Drosophila melanogaster: one gene and its partner. The protein of the gene in region 2 interacts with the protein of the main gene of each other region in a biochemical or structural test. Each region holds a gene or a part of one and is shown on either strand. Other genes may lie near its edges.

What was found.
Region 1: of the proteins of AGO2 (region 2) and r2d2, one has a biochemical effect on the other in vitro, tested with the Drosophila melanogaster proteins (one study listed by BioGRID).

What each region holds. Positions count from the first base shown.
Region 1 is NT_033779.5:7,797,768-7,803,020, reverse strand, and holds r2d2 (r2d2), read right to left. Parts: upstream 2,875-5,253; 5' UTR 2,769-2,874; exon of another isoform or gene 2,676-2,768; 5' UTR 2,519-2,675; coding exon 2,374-2,518; intron 2,301-2,373; coding exon 1,510-2,300; 3' UTR 923-1,509; downstream 1-922. Other genes in the region: Cdc14 (cell division cycle 14), read left to right, coding at 1-534; Herp (Homocysteine-induced endoplasmic reticulum protein), read left to right, coding at 3,509-3,712, 4,398-4,858.
Region 2 is NT_037436.4:15,552,171-15,560,655, forward strand, and holds the start of AGO2 (argonaute 2), read left to right. Parts: upstream 1-1,942; 5' UTR 1,943-2,036; coding exon of another isoform or gene 2,037-2,052; 5' UTR 2,053-2,094; coding exon 2,095-2,302; intron 2,303-4,652; exon of another isoform or gene 4,653-4,679; coding exon 4,680-5,947; intron 5,948-6,079; coding exon 6,080-6,168; intron 6,169-6,223; coding exon 6,224-6,833; intron 6,834-6,929; coding exon 6,930-7,946; intron 7,947-8,037; coding exon 8,038-8,408; intron 8,409-8,470; coding exon 8,471-8,485. UniProt on the Drosophila melanogaster protein: Essential for RNA interference (RNAi); double-stranded RNA induces potent and specific gene silencing.

The sequences.
Region 1 (5,253 bases), on a different chromosome or scaffold from region 2:
GGCAGTGCCGAATTGCAGGCGATCATCGAGCACGGCCTGGTGGCTGGTTCCGCCAAGCGAAACAAGCGATCGCTGAGCTCCACACGCCTGGACAAGGACAAGAGCGACGAGTACAACACAAAGCTGTTGAGGAAGACGGCGGCGGCAGCTGCTGCAGCGGCCACAGCAGCATCAGCTGTAGCCAACAGCACATCGATCAACGCCACCCACGCCACAAACGCCTCCACCACCAGCAGCATGAACAACAATTGCAAGTACAACAGCTGCAGCAGCAGCAACAGCGGCAGCTTCAAGCTTTCCCGGCGCCTTTTCGGTGAGTCCGGCTCCTCAGCATCGACGTCCGCCTCAAATTCGGGTATTCCCACACCCACGGCGCCGCCCTCCTCCAGCCAGTGGCAACAGCACCTGGTACGCGGTGTGAGTCGTGCGTCCAGCGAAAAGGATCGGGATCGGGAGCGACAGCAACAACAACAACAACAGTCTCTGGACCATCAACAATCCAATCTCAAGCTGCGCAAGAAGATTAGCTATTGAACACTAATCATATATTGTTTCCTTTAGTTGTGTAAATATTATTTTGACTAGTAAATTGAACGTTTCCCGATGAGATGATGAGATTGATGTGGCGAATGCAATGATTTTTTAGATATTCCAATGCAATCAAATTTGGTGATTGATTAGGAAATTATTTGCAATAACAATCTCATTTATACACTTACATTTTTTTTTAGGAAAACATTTCAAATTGTTATGGATTTGTTATTTAACATATTGTACTAATATAAGATAACCCATTAAAAGGCAAGCAATTGACATTGAAATTGTTAATACATTGTTGAAAGTTTTTAAGAGGAACGCTTAGTTTTCATTTTAGCATTGTGTTGTAAAAATAAAATCAAAAATGCTGAAGACTACGAAGCACTTTATTTATTTTAGACTGAAACCCCTTTTATTCGTATAAAAGTTGTACTTGTAAAAAAAAAAAGAAATGCAGCATTTTTACCATTTTTTTCCGTCAAATTATTTAAAATATTTGTTTCAAGTAAGTCTTTGATTACTAGCATTCCTTTTAAAGGCAAATGTTCAGATTTTTAATTTCACTGTGCAATACATATTTATGTAAATTGCTTCAAATATTTTATAATCAGTTGTTGCAAACAATAAGTTCGGACCGTATAAATACTTTACATTTTAATAGAATTAACATTGGTATTGGCATCGAAAAGTAATTAATAATATCATTATGTTATACCTTCTCGAAAGTAAAAGTTGTTGTACCCACTCCCCTTACTTATTTCCTTGGATTTTTTACACCTATCTCAATCGTGTACAAAGTTAACATAGATGTTTACTAAAAGACCTTGAAAATAATTTTTTTATGTTTCCCACCTACAAATTGGTGGAGATTGTATTAATCGTAAGATTAAATGAAATATGTGCATTCTAGAGTGTAAATAAAACGAGTTTACTTAGTTTTAAGCTAGAATAGTTGAATAAATGTTATACGCATTAAATCAACATGGTGCGAAAATAGTCTATTATATGGTCGTAGATATCGGTCTCCTTTGCCATAAGGACCACGTCGAATGCACAATTAAGCTCGACGCTAAGCAAGGGAACCAACGATGAAGATTCCACTTCACTGATTTTGGGTGTTATCTTTAAAGAGCTCATTACGTCCATAGCCTTATCCTTGGAGCTCTCGTATTCATCTGAATTGATGGCCTCAATGGCCTCCTTTTTCAGGGTAGGATAGAAGTTCTTGAAGTAGTTGTGTCGGTCGCAGAGCCGCATGCCTGTATGGTCTACGCTCCCGGCTTCCTTCAACTCCCAGTAGGTGGTAAATTTCTTTCTGCGCAATGCCTCCAATTCCTCCATAGATTCTTCCATATCAACAACTTTCAATTTGCTTGTGCTCGCTACTTGCATTTGATCCGGACGCAAATTGTCCGAATTGCTGGAGATTAAGGCCAGCATTTCAATGGCCGCTCGCTGACGGGCATCCTTCTTTTTGTCCGACTTTCCGTAGCGTACTATGGAGGCCACGGAGCAACAGGCCACGAATTCCGGGGCGCTCGGGGTGCCGCTTTGCTGCACTACCTCAATGCAGGGCAGTGGCATCTCGCGGCGGACGCAGTAGTCACGCAGCTCCTTCACCATGTCCCGGTTGAGGTTAGTCAGTTCCTCATCCAGATCACCCACAGTCGAATCCTTCATCAAGCCGTGTATGCCGGGCAGCAGTTGGATTTTACGCAAGATATTGCTGGCAGCCAGGTGTTTGGCATCACGCTTCGAACGCCCTAGAATTGGATAAATATGTGGCGGTTTAGATACGAATATAAATAGTGGTTGAGATTTGTAATTTAAATTTACCATTTCCAAGGGCCTCTATCTCCAATAGTTCAACTTTACAGACGTACCCTCCGTCTTCGCCGGGAATAAAACTGTATGTTGGTAGATTAATCTGTGTCCGGGCACAAAACTCCTGTAGAGCAGATACGGCTGACTTGTTATCCATGAGTTCAAGGGGAAAAGGCACGTCGGACGTGCTAACATTCAACAGAATATAACCATATATATAATTTATAAAATATCTAAAGCACTGCAATGTTATTAGAGATGGCACGCGAATCACGAAGCGGCAACGATAGAATAGGAAATCTTGACGAAGACATCTGTAAATGAATTATTTTATGCCGCTTTGTCAAAAAAATATTTTCACGAAATAGTATTGAATTCGTAATTCGAATACGAAAACAGCGGCAAACCTTCTTAACTTTTTTACTAAGGAGCAAATGCATTTTATATGCTATTCGGTGTTTTCATTCAAAGTTCAACGTCTGAAGTGTTATACATAATCGACACGTCACGATGACGCGAGTTGGCATCCCCGTAAGTCAAGGCAACCCTGTTGCGTAGTATATGGCATTAACAAGTGTTGCTGTCAGTGATGAGCAAAATCCACAACTGCAAATAACTAGATACCGTATATTTTTCAAAGGAATAAATTCTAAAAACACTAAAACCAAGTGTTTGAGCAACGACTTTAATATTTTCCAACTGTGTACTTAAATTGCCACATCCCACACACTTTGGAAAATCAATTCTCAGCTGTTTGTGCAACCTGCGACTTAAAAATACCTGCTACTCGCGGCAGCCCTGTGACCGACGCTCATCACTTGCCACAGGTCAGAACCAAATGAAGAGTAGTTTTTGATCAACTGCGGAACGTTTACTGCGTTTCATAATCAATAACTCTGTGCTGCGAGCAAAACACCACAGAACGAACAGCTGTTGAAAACCAAACAATAGCATAATACCAAATTAAATGTCAAATTCAGAATAAACTATTTCTCGAAAATACGCAGAGAGCAGAGCGGAGTAGGAAGTGAGAAACAGTGGCTGCGTAAAAAGTGTCCCCGCTAGCGCAGCAAAAACCCATCACCGATCTTCGTATCGCGGTCATTAATTAGCAATAGAAAGTTCTCCGATTCGCGGGGTCAGCCAGATGGAGGAGAACGCCGCCCCACCCGCAGCCGCAACAGCCGCGGGCTGCGATGCCGCCACCCGTCAAAAGAATCCGGAAACCAGTGTCCGGCTGCTCATCAAGTCGTCCAACCAGCAGTATGAGGATCTCAATGTGGACTCCGATCTCTGCTGGACGGTCCAGAGGCTGAAGAAGCACCTATCTCTTATCTATCCTGGCAAACCGGTGGGTTATCGAGTTGGTTCCCCCCCTTGTTATCGTATAGGTAGAAAACTGGCCAGGAGCCCCATTATCTTATCGAGAAGTTTGTTATTGTTTATCATCTTCGTTTAGGATTCATAGGTGTGTCGGTTCCCAAAGCTATTTGCGTCTTAGTCGCAAGTACACGTCAGTGGATTGCTCCTCTAAATTATAGTCGCCGTCATGCACTTGCGTCATGCACTTGGTCTATGCCAAATCGATGGGTCGGAACTGGGAACTGGGATTAATTTGGTTACGGTTAGAAAGTGATAAGATTTTTGGACATATTCACGCTCCACTCATGTGCCAAGTTTTTTATGTACATATGTACATCCCACATATCAATATCACTGATATATACTAAAGATTCAGATCATTGCAGGCAGAAAAAATACATTAGCACTCTTTATTTCCAGAGCAAATCAAGTAGAATTTATAAAAATTTATTTAGTTTCAAGTATCATTTCCATAAAGTCAACTGACAAGTACAAGTTGTTATCTCTTGGAGTGTGCAAATAAATAGATTTAGGCACTGTTTGATAGTATAAATTTCGCGCGGAGGTAAAAGCAACAATGAGTTATCTCTAGGTTCCCTCTGAATACCTATAATGTGAAATTTTATGTTTTATGTTTTGACCACTATAACTATTTCTTTCCATTTTTTCTGTAGTTAATCCAGGACCAGAAACTTATTTACTCGGGCAAGCTATTAGATGACTCCCAAAAGATATCTGAGGTGATACGCAGCTACAAGGATGTCTACCAACAGCACCACATATTTCACTTGGTGTGTGCCAGCAAGCAAGTGATAAGGCCGGCTGCCAAAGCCCCCACTGTTCCGCAGAAGGATGCGGTTCCAGCTGGGCCCGAGGTCACTGGGAATGCAAATGAGCTGCGACAACGTCATGCTCCACATCAGCAGCAGGCACAGCAGGGCAACGCTGGACCACACGTGACGGGTGACATCGGTTTGGCCAATCCCTGGACACACTTCTGGCAGCAGAGCCAGGGAGCAGCACCTGCTGCCAATGCCAGTGCCAGTCCCCATGCTTTGTTCCAGCAGCAGGCGCTCATCTACAACGCCTGGATGCAGCAGGCTTACGCGCAGTACATGCAGCAGTTGACTCTACGGTAAGTGAACAGAACCAGAAGGCTAAAGGAACACACTTGATCCAACAATTAATTCACTGATATCAGAAGCGAGCGAATCAAATTACACAGAGCTCGATAGCGAATACATTTTATTTTTCTCAGAAGGAGAAACACTTGTATTTAGTCACTCTTAAGAGGTACTTTATTATTCAAGTGAGATCAAAATGCTGTTTTAGCATTTTTAAAGTTGTTTCTTGATTATTTATAATCTTTTTATTATTTTGGTTATCAGGCGTGCTAAAATTGTAGTATACTTGTATGGCCACGATTACAGTTAAATAATATAATTTTGGGGTCGCTCCCGAAGAATTTATTGTGCGCAATTAAGTTTTGCATGTAAACGAACAATTATTTTCTATAATATTGAATGCTAT
Region 2 (8,485 bases):
AAATACCTAAACAATTCCATAATGTAGCTATATAGGTGGATTATGTAACGAACTATGTCTATGTGCAGCATTTAAGTTTCTCTTCATCATCTGTTCGCCAGCGGGCGTCAAGTTGGAGTTTCAATAGATGGAAAGCATACGAATTTATAATGGGTATCCGTATCCGTATCTGCATCCGTATCCATATCCGTATCTGTATCCGTATCCCCAATTCGGTTGCGTTCTCCACCTGCCGCGTTGCCTGGCCAATTTAAAACAATTTCCGAGCCAATTATGAAAATGAATTATTGTTTGTTAAGTTTTATTTTATAAGACGGCGCTGCACTGACCGAAGGGATATTTTGAGAGTATAACCCAATTTAATCAAATTTCGCAGCAATTATTTTGTTTTTTATGTTTACAATTTGTGTTTTACGTTTTAGTGCAATTTTTTGGCATACATACATATTTATACAGATATTTTTGTATTCTTTTCGCAGCGTTCTAAATGAGTCATTCTAGTTTTTATTAGTTGAATTTATAAACACAAAATTACTTAACGGAAATTTCAAGCGTAACCCGTTGATTTCCTATCAACTCGATAATATGTATCTATAAAATATAATTTAGCTATTTCTACGTATGTCTGTGCATGTGTGTATAAATCAAGCGGGCGAAGTTGTGCAATTGTTAGAAAATTTTTAAAAGAAAGATATTTAGTAAAAATACGAAAATCAGAAATCGATGTTGAAAAACAAAACGCTCGTGCAATGACAAACAAAATTTTATTAATAAAGCGTTAAACAAACAAATTAAAGACAACATGAAATATACATTATGATATATTTATATATACAAGTATGAATAATGTACGACTATTTACTATTTTTTGGCTATAGCATTTTAAACGCATATATTGTATGTTTAACGTTGAAAATGGAAAAAACAAACAAAACAAGAAAATACATCAAAAAAAATTGTAAAACTTTTATGATTGGTTGCTGTAATTTGGCAAAAGTAAAAGTGCAATTCCAAATAAAATTCAAACAACCATACAAACAGCAGGAATCTGGGTCTTTTATTTATTTATTATCTATGGAAAAACAATACTTTTTCTGGAATGTAAAACTATTTTTCACTTAAAGGCGGAAAAATAAAAATAATGCTTTCTAGCAGTGGTGATTAAATTTATTGATTCTTACTGATGTCTTCTTCCAAAATAAAATTTAAAAAAAAAAACTAGTAAATTAAAATTTTTTTCCTATTTTAAACTTCCCCGATAATCAGATGCCAGTTACTCAACTATTGGAAATGCGAACGCAAATTAGATATTGGTGAATAAAATAAGAAAAAAAATTAAAATTGTTAAAAATTGTAAGCGTGGCTTTTCGGCGGTTTGTGGGAGTAATAGTAGTTTGGCAGATCAATAGAAATTTACAAGACTAATCAAAATATGAAAAATATCACATTTTGCATAACTGTGGGCGTGGCAATTTAAAGTTTTTTGGCAGATCGATGGAAATTTACAAGACTAATAAAAATATGAAAAATGTCAAAACATTTTGAAAATGTGCGTGGGAAGTTTTGGGGGCTTTCCGTAATCTCAATTTTCTAGCTTCTTATTCATCCTGAGATCTCGACGTTCGTACGGACTGACAGATGGACGGAAAGACGGACATGGCTAGATCGACTCGGCTATTGGTCCTTATATATATAATATATATAATATATTATAATATATATAATTTATTAGGTCGAAATCGGTTTCTTTTGCCGGATACATGCTTTTCAACGAATATAGCATACATTTGACTCAACAAGCAACATGTATACAAAACATGTATAAAAATATACAAATATAAATAGAGTCCCCACTTGAATGGCCCGCCTAGTCCGTATGTTCCTATCAATAATCGATAACAGAAAACACTTTAGCTGTGCCGCTCAATAACTTATCGCCCACCCCTAAGGCCTCCCATCACTAAAAAAGACTGTGACGCATTAAAAAATCGTCTATTAAAAGTCGTCAGTTAACTCGAAACCCTCAAAAGTAAATCATGGGAAAAAAAGATAGTGAGTTGTCCCACCTGCAGGACCATACAGCTATTCAAATATATGCACTTTCCAATTACCACCCCAGAGAACAAGAAAGGAGGACAGGATAGCGCTGCAGCACCACAGCCCCAGCAGCAGCAAAAGCAACAACAACAACGGCAGCAACAACCACAGCAGCTGCAACAACCACAGCAGCTGCAACAACCACAGCAGCTGCAACAACCACAGCAGCAGCAACAACAACAACCGCATCAGCAACAACAACAAAGTAAGTGCAAAGTGCGATATATCGGCGTAGGCAAAAAATAGATGTATGCATGCATGTACATACATATGTTTTGTACATATGGATTTACCATTTGCAATCAAATGCTCCATAAACTTTCGAAATGCCTGGGAATTCCCGAATTCGTGGCAGCCATGATGAAATTCAACTGCCATGGTTGTATAGAACCTATGTATGTGTGTATTATACTTAAAGGTGAATTCTACTGTATATAACAGTTATTGAATTTCCCCTTAACATAACTAAATTAAAATTCCTTTATATTTAAAAAAATGAATTTTGCTATGAAATGTAACAGTTGTGCTTTAGGCAGAAGCATCAAACAATTAAGAATTAAAATCTGCTCAAATCTGTAAATCTTAATCTTAATTTATACCAGATCCGACATTTTAACTCAATTATAAACTTATTAAAAATCTGAAAGATGAAGCGAAATTGAACATTTGACATCAATATATCTTTACATTTAAGGTTATGTACATACAGTTTGTCAAGAAACTGTTTACACACTGTGAAATAAGTTGAATTTTTGACTTTAAAGCTAAAAATAAAGGGTTTTTTGCTTAATTAAACGCAATTTTTTTATAAAATATAATTAAACAATATTTATTTTACTTATAAATAAAAAACAAATTAAAAATATTAAATATACAAGAAAATAAACAACAAATTCCAGGTTTACACACTTTTGAGACTGTCAAGAAACTCTTTACACATTTTGTTTTCCTACTTTGTTTTGTTCTTTTTCTTAGAACGAACTCGATTTTTCCGTTATTTTTGGCTTCGCATTGCTTTTTACAACGCTTCTATTGAAATTTGTTGACTTTGCTTGTGAAATTTTGCTGATCAAACGTGCTTAAAGCGAATTATTAAATTTAATAAAATGCCTGGAAAGAGATTAACTTTTGAAGTTACCCAATTAATAAACTATAACCACCAGTTGGGAAAATCTTTTCCAGAATTAGTATAAATGTTTCCTGTATCCCGTAAGACCGTCTACAATGTTTTAAAAGGCTCGGAAAAAGAGGGCAGGCTTGAACCTAAGAGTGGTGGTGGACGGAAAATTAAAATTAAAAAGCGTGTAGACCGCTTTATTATGCGAATAGTGATTGCGAACCCCCGAATCTCGGTCAGATCACTTGCTCTGGATATCAGGCAAGAATGCCACCTAACTGTGTCACACGAAACTGTGCGCCAAGTCATCCTACGCCATAGGTACTCTTCAAGATTTGCAAGGAAAAACCCTTTGCTATCAGATGCCAATATGGAAAAGCGTCATTAATTCGCTGTGAGCATGATGGATCATGCGGAAGAGTACTGGGATGACGTCATATTTTGTGACGAAACAAAAATGATGCTCTTTTATAACGACGGGCCAAGCAGAGTATGGCGCAAACCGTTGAGTGCGCTAGAAAAACAAAATATCATTCCAACGATAAAATTTGGAAAAATGTCACTGATGATGTGGGGCTGTATCACCAGCCGTGGAGTGGGAAAACTAGCCTTAATTGAGAGCACAATAAATGCCGTGCAATATCTAGAAATGTTAAAAAACAAATTTGAAGGCCAGTGTAGAAAAAATTAGTCTGGTTAGCAACAACAAGCCAAATTTTAAGTTTTACCAGGACATGATCAGAAACATAAAGAGTGCAATGTACGCACCTGGCGCCTTAATAACTGTGGTAAAGTGATCGATACGCCCCCTCAGAGTCCTGATCTGAACCCCATTGAAAATTTGTGGACCTACTTAAAGAAGAAGGTGGCAAAAAGGGACCTAAAACACAACAACAGCTTATGACTGTAATAGTCGAAGAGTGTGAAAAGATCCCGTTTGAATATGACCTGCAAAAACTTGTCCAATCCATGAAAAAAAGGCTTCAACTTGTAGCTAAAGCCAATGGGGAACATACTACATACCAAAACTTTTAAAATTTTAATAAAATAATTAAAAAATTTAGGATTAAACTTCGATTTAGTGTTTTGTGTAAAGAGTTTCTTGACAGTCTCAAAAGTGTGTAAACTTGGAATTTGTTGTTTATTTTCTTGTATATTTAATATTTTTAATTTGTTTTTTGATTTATAAGTAAAATTAATATTGTTTAATTATATTTTATAAAAAAATTGCGTTTAATTAAGCAAAAAACCCTTTATTTTTAGCTTTAAAATCAAAAATTCAACTTATTTCACAGTGTGTAAACAGTTTCTTGACAAACTGTATGTATTTTAAAGTGATACAAATTATTTTCGCGTTAGCAAATTCAAATCAGCCAAGTGAATACTTTTCGAAGAGTTTGCTTGCAGTTTTTTCGAAACCTAACACCTATTGTAATAAACATTCTTTGTCGATTTCTAAATCTAGGTTCGAGACAACAGCCATCCACAAGCTCAGGCGGATCCCGTGCATCTGGGTTCCAGCAAGGAGGCCAACAGCAAAAATCCCAAGACGCAGAAGGATGGACTGCACAGAAAAAACAAGGCAAACAGCAGGTACAAGGGTGGACTAAACAAGGTCAACAAGGTGGCCATCAGCAAGGACGACAAGGGCAAGACGGTGGCTACCAACAGCGTCCGCCTGGACAACAACAAGGTGGCCATCAGCAAGGACGACAAGGGCAAGAAGGTGGCTACCAACAGCGTCCGCCTGGACAACAACAAGGTGGCCATCAGCAAGGACGACAAGGGCAAGAAGGTGGCTACCAACAGCGTCCGTCTGGACAACAACAAGGTGGCCATCAGCAAGGACGACAAGGGCAAGAAGGTGGCTACCAACAGCGTCCGCCTGGACAACAACAAGGTGGCCATCAGCAAGGACGACAAGGGCAAGAAGGTGGCTACCAACAGCGTCCGTCTGGACAACAACAAGGTGGCCATCAGCAAGGACGACAAGGGCAAGAAGGTGGCTACCAACAGCGTCCGCCTGGACAACAACAAGGTGGCCATCAGCAAGGACGACAAGGGCAAGAAGGTGGCTACCAACAGCGTCCGCCTGGACAACAACAAGGTGGCCATGAGCAAGGACGACAAGGGCAAGAAGGTGGCTACCAACAGCGTCCGTCTGGACAACAACAAGGTGGCCATCAGCAAGGACGACAAGGGCAAGAAGGTGGCTACCAACAGCGTCCGTCTGGACAACAACAAGGTGGCCATCAGCAAGGACGACAAGGGCAAGAAGGTGGCTACCAACAGCGTCCGTCTGGACAACAACAAGGTGGCCATCAGCAAGGACGACAAGGGCAAGAAGGTGGCTACCAACAGCGTCCGCCTGGACAACAACCAAACCAAACCCAGAGCCAAGGCCAATACCAATCTCGTGGACCACCTCAGCAACAGCAGGCTGCCCCATTACCATTACCGCCTCAGCCAGCCGGGAGCATTAAGCGCGGAACAATCGGCAAACCCGGGCAAGTAGGCATCAACTATCTGGACCTTGACCTGTCCAAAATGCCTTCTGTGGCATACCACTATGACGTGAAGATCATGCCAGAGCGTCCCAAAAAGTTTTACAGACAGGCATTTGAACAATTTCGGGTGGACCAATTGGGCGGAGCAGTTCTTGCCTATGATGGCAAAGCCTCTTGCTACTCGGTGGATAAGCTGCCGTTAAATAGCCAAAATCCGGAAGTGACTGTAAGTTGCAAGAAATTGTCTACTAAGTTATGAACAACTGGGAGTAATAACATTTTTAAATGTATACAGTGGCAGTTAAATTTAATTTAATCTATACGATATTTTAGTTGTTTTTATTTCTTATTATTTTAGGTGACAGATCGTAATGGTCGTACTTTGCGCTACACGATCGAAATCAAGGAGACTGGTGACTCGACCATTGACCTTAAATCGTTAACTACGTAAATATAAATTATGTTTTTTATGGATACTCCTATTGAACGCGCTCCTCTGCAGTTATATGAATGACCGAATTTTCGACAAGCCCATGCGAGCAATGCAGTGCGTGGAGGTTGTTTTGGCTTCACCCTGCCACAACAAAGCCATCCGTGTCGGTCGTTCCTTCTTTAAGATGTCCGATCCTAATAATCGTCACGAACTGGATGATGGATACGAGGCCCTGGTCGGTCTGTATCAGGCATTTATGCTGGGCGATAGGCCATTTTTAAATGTAGATATATCGCACAAATCCTTTCCGATTTCAATGCCGATGATCGAATATTTGGAGCGATTTAGCTTAAAGGCTAAAATCAACAATACAACGAATTTAGATTATTCGCGACGCTTCCTTGAGCCATTCCTCAGAGGCATTAATGTGGTTTACACGCCTCCTCAGTCGTTTCAAAGCGCTCCAAGGGTATACCGTGTAAATGGTCTTTCTCGTGCCCCGGCCAGCAGTGAGACCTTCGAACACGATGGGAAGAAGGTCACCATTGCGTCCTACTTCCACAGTCGCAACTACCCATTGAAGTTTCCCCAACTCCATTGTCTGAACGTTGGATCTTCAATCAAGAGTATTCTGCTGCCCATCGAGCTATGCAGCATCGAGGAAGGTCAGGCCCTAAACGTGAGTTCACTAAATTCCTTTATATCTATATCTTGGTGTTCAATACCGTAAGCTATATTGTCATTACATATACCTATAAACATATGTATTTCACAGCGCAAGGATGGAGCAACTCAGGTGGCCAATATGATAAAGTACGCAGCCACATCGACGAACGTGCGAAAGCGCAAGATTATGAACTTGCTGCAATACTTCCAGCACAACCTGGATCCGACCATCAGTCGCTTTGGCATCCGCATTGCCAACGATTTTATTGTGGTAAGCACCCGCGTCCTAAGCCCACCTCAGGTTGAATATCATAGTAAGAGGTTTACTATGGTGAAGAACGGGTCGTGGCGCATGGATGGCATGAAGTTTCTGGAGCCCAAGCCCAAGGCGCACAAGTGTGCGGTCTTGTATTGCGATCCGAGGAGTGGTCGCAAAATGAACTATACCCAGCTGAATGACTTCGGGAACCTAATAATATCCCAAGGCAAGGCAGTCAACATAAGCTTGGATTCTGATGTGACATACAGACCGTTCACGGATGACGAACGCAGCCTAGACACTATTTTCGCGGATCTGAAGCGCAGCCAGCACGATCTGGCAATTGTGATTATTCCTCAGTTTAGAATTTCTTACGATACAATTAAGCAGAAGGCCGAGCTGCAGCATGGAATTTTGACGCAATGCATTAAGCAGTTCACCGTGGAACGAAAGTGTAATAATCAGACGATTGGAAATATTCTACTTAAGATCAACTCCAAGCTGAACGGCATCAACCACAAGATCAAGGATGATCCTCGTCTGCCGATGATGAAGAACACCATGTACATTGGAGCCGATGTGACCCATCCCTCTCCCGATCAGCGCGAGATTCCCAGTGTGGTCGGAGTAGCAGCCTCACACGATCCCTACGGAGCCAGTTATAACATGCAATATCGTTTGCAGCGAGGGGCTCTGGAGGAGATTGAGGACATGTTCTCGATTACTTTGGAGCACTTGCGCGTGTATAAAGAGTACCGTAACGCCTATCCTGATCATATCATCTACTACCGAGATGGCGTGAGCGACGGCCAGTTTCCGAAAATCAAAAACGAGGAACTGAGGTGTATTAAACAAGCCTGTGACAAGGTAAGTTTTTGAATTTCCTCACTATTTATTTAACATGAAATGAAATTACCAGTTACTAGCTATGAGTTAATTATTATATTATTATATACAGGTGGGCTGTAAACCCAAGATTTGCTGCGTGATTGTGGTGAAGCGTCATCACACTCGCTTCTTTCCCAGCGGCGACGTAACGACATCGAACAAGTTCAACAACGTGGACCCCGGAACCGTGGTCGATCGCACCATTGTGCATCCTAACGAGATGCAGTTCTTCATGGTCAGCCACCAGGCCATCCAGGGCACGGCCAAGCCAACACGATACAATGTGATTGAGAACACAGGCAATCTTGACATCGACTTGTTGCAGCAGTTGACCTACAACCTGTGCCACATGTTCCCTCGTTGCAATCGCTCGGTTTCTTATCCGGCTCCGGCCTATTTAGCCCATTTGGTAGCTGCTCGTGGACGCGTTTATCTGACTGGGTATGATATTCTTTGTGAGCGTTACCCGTACATTGAACTTATTTCTTTCTGTAATGTCACAGCACCAACAGGTTCCT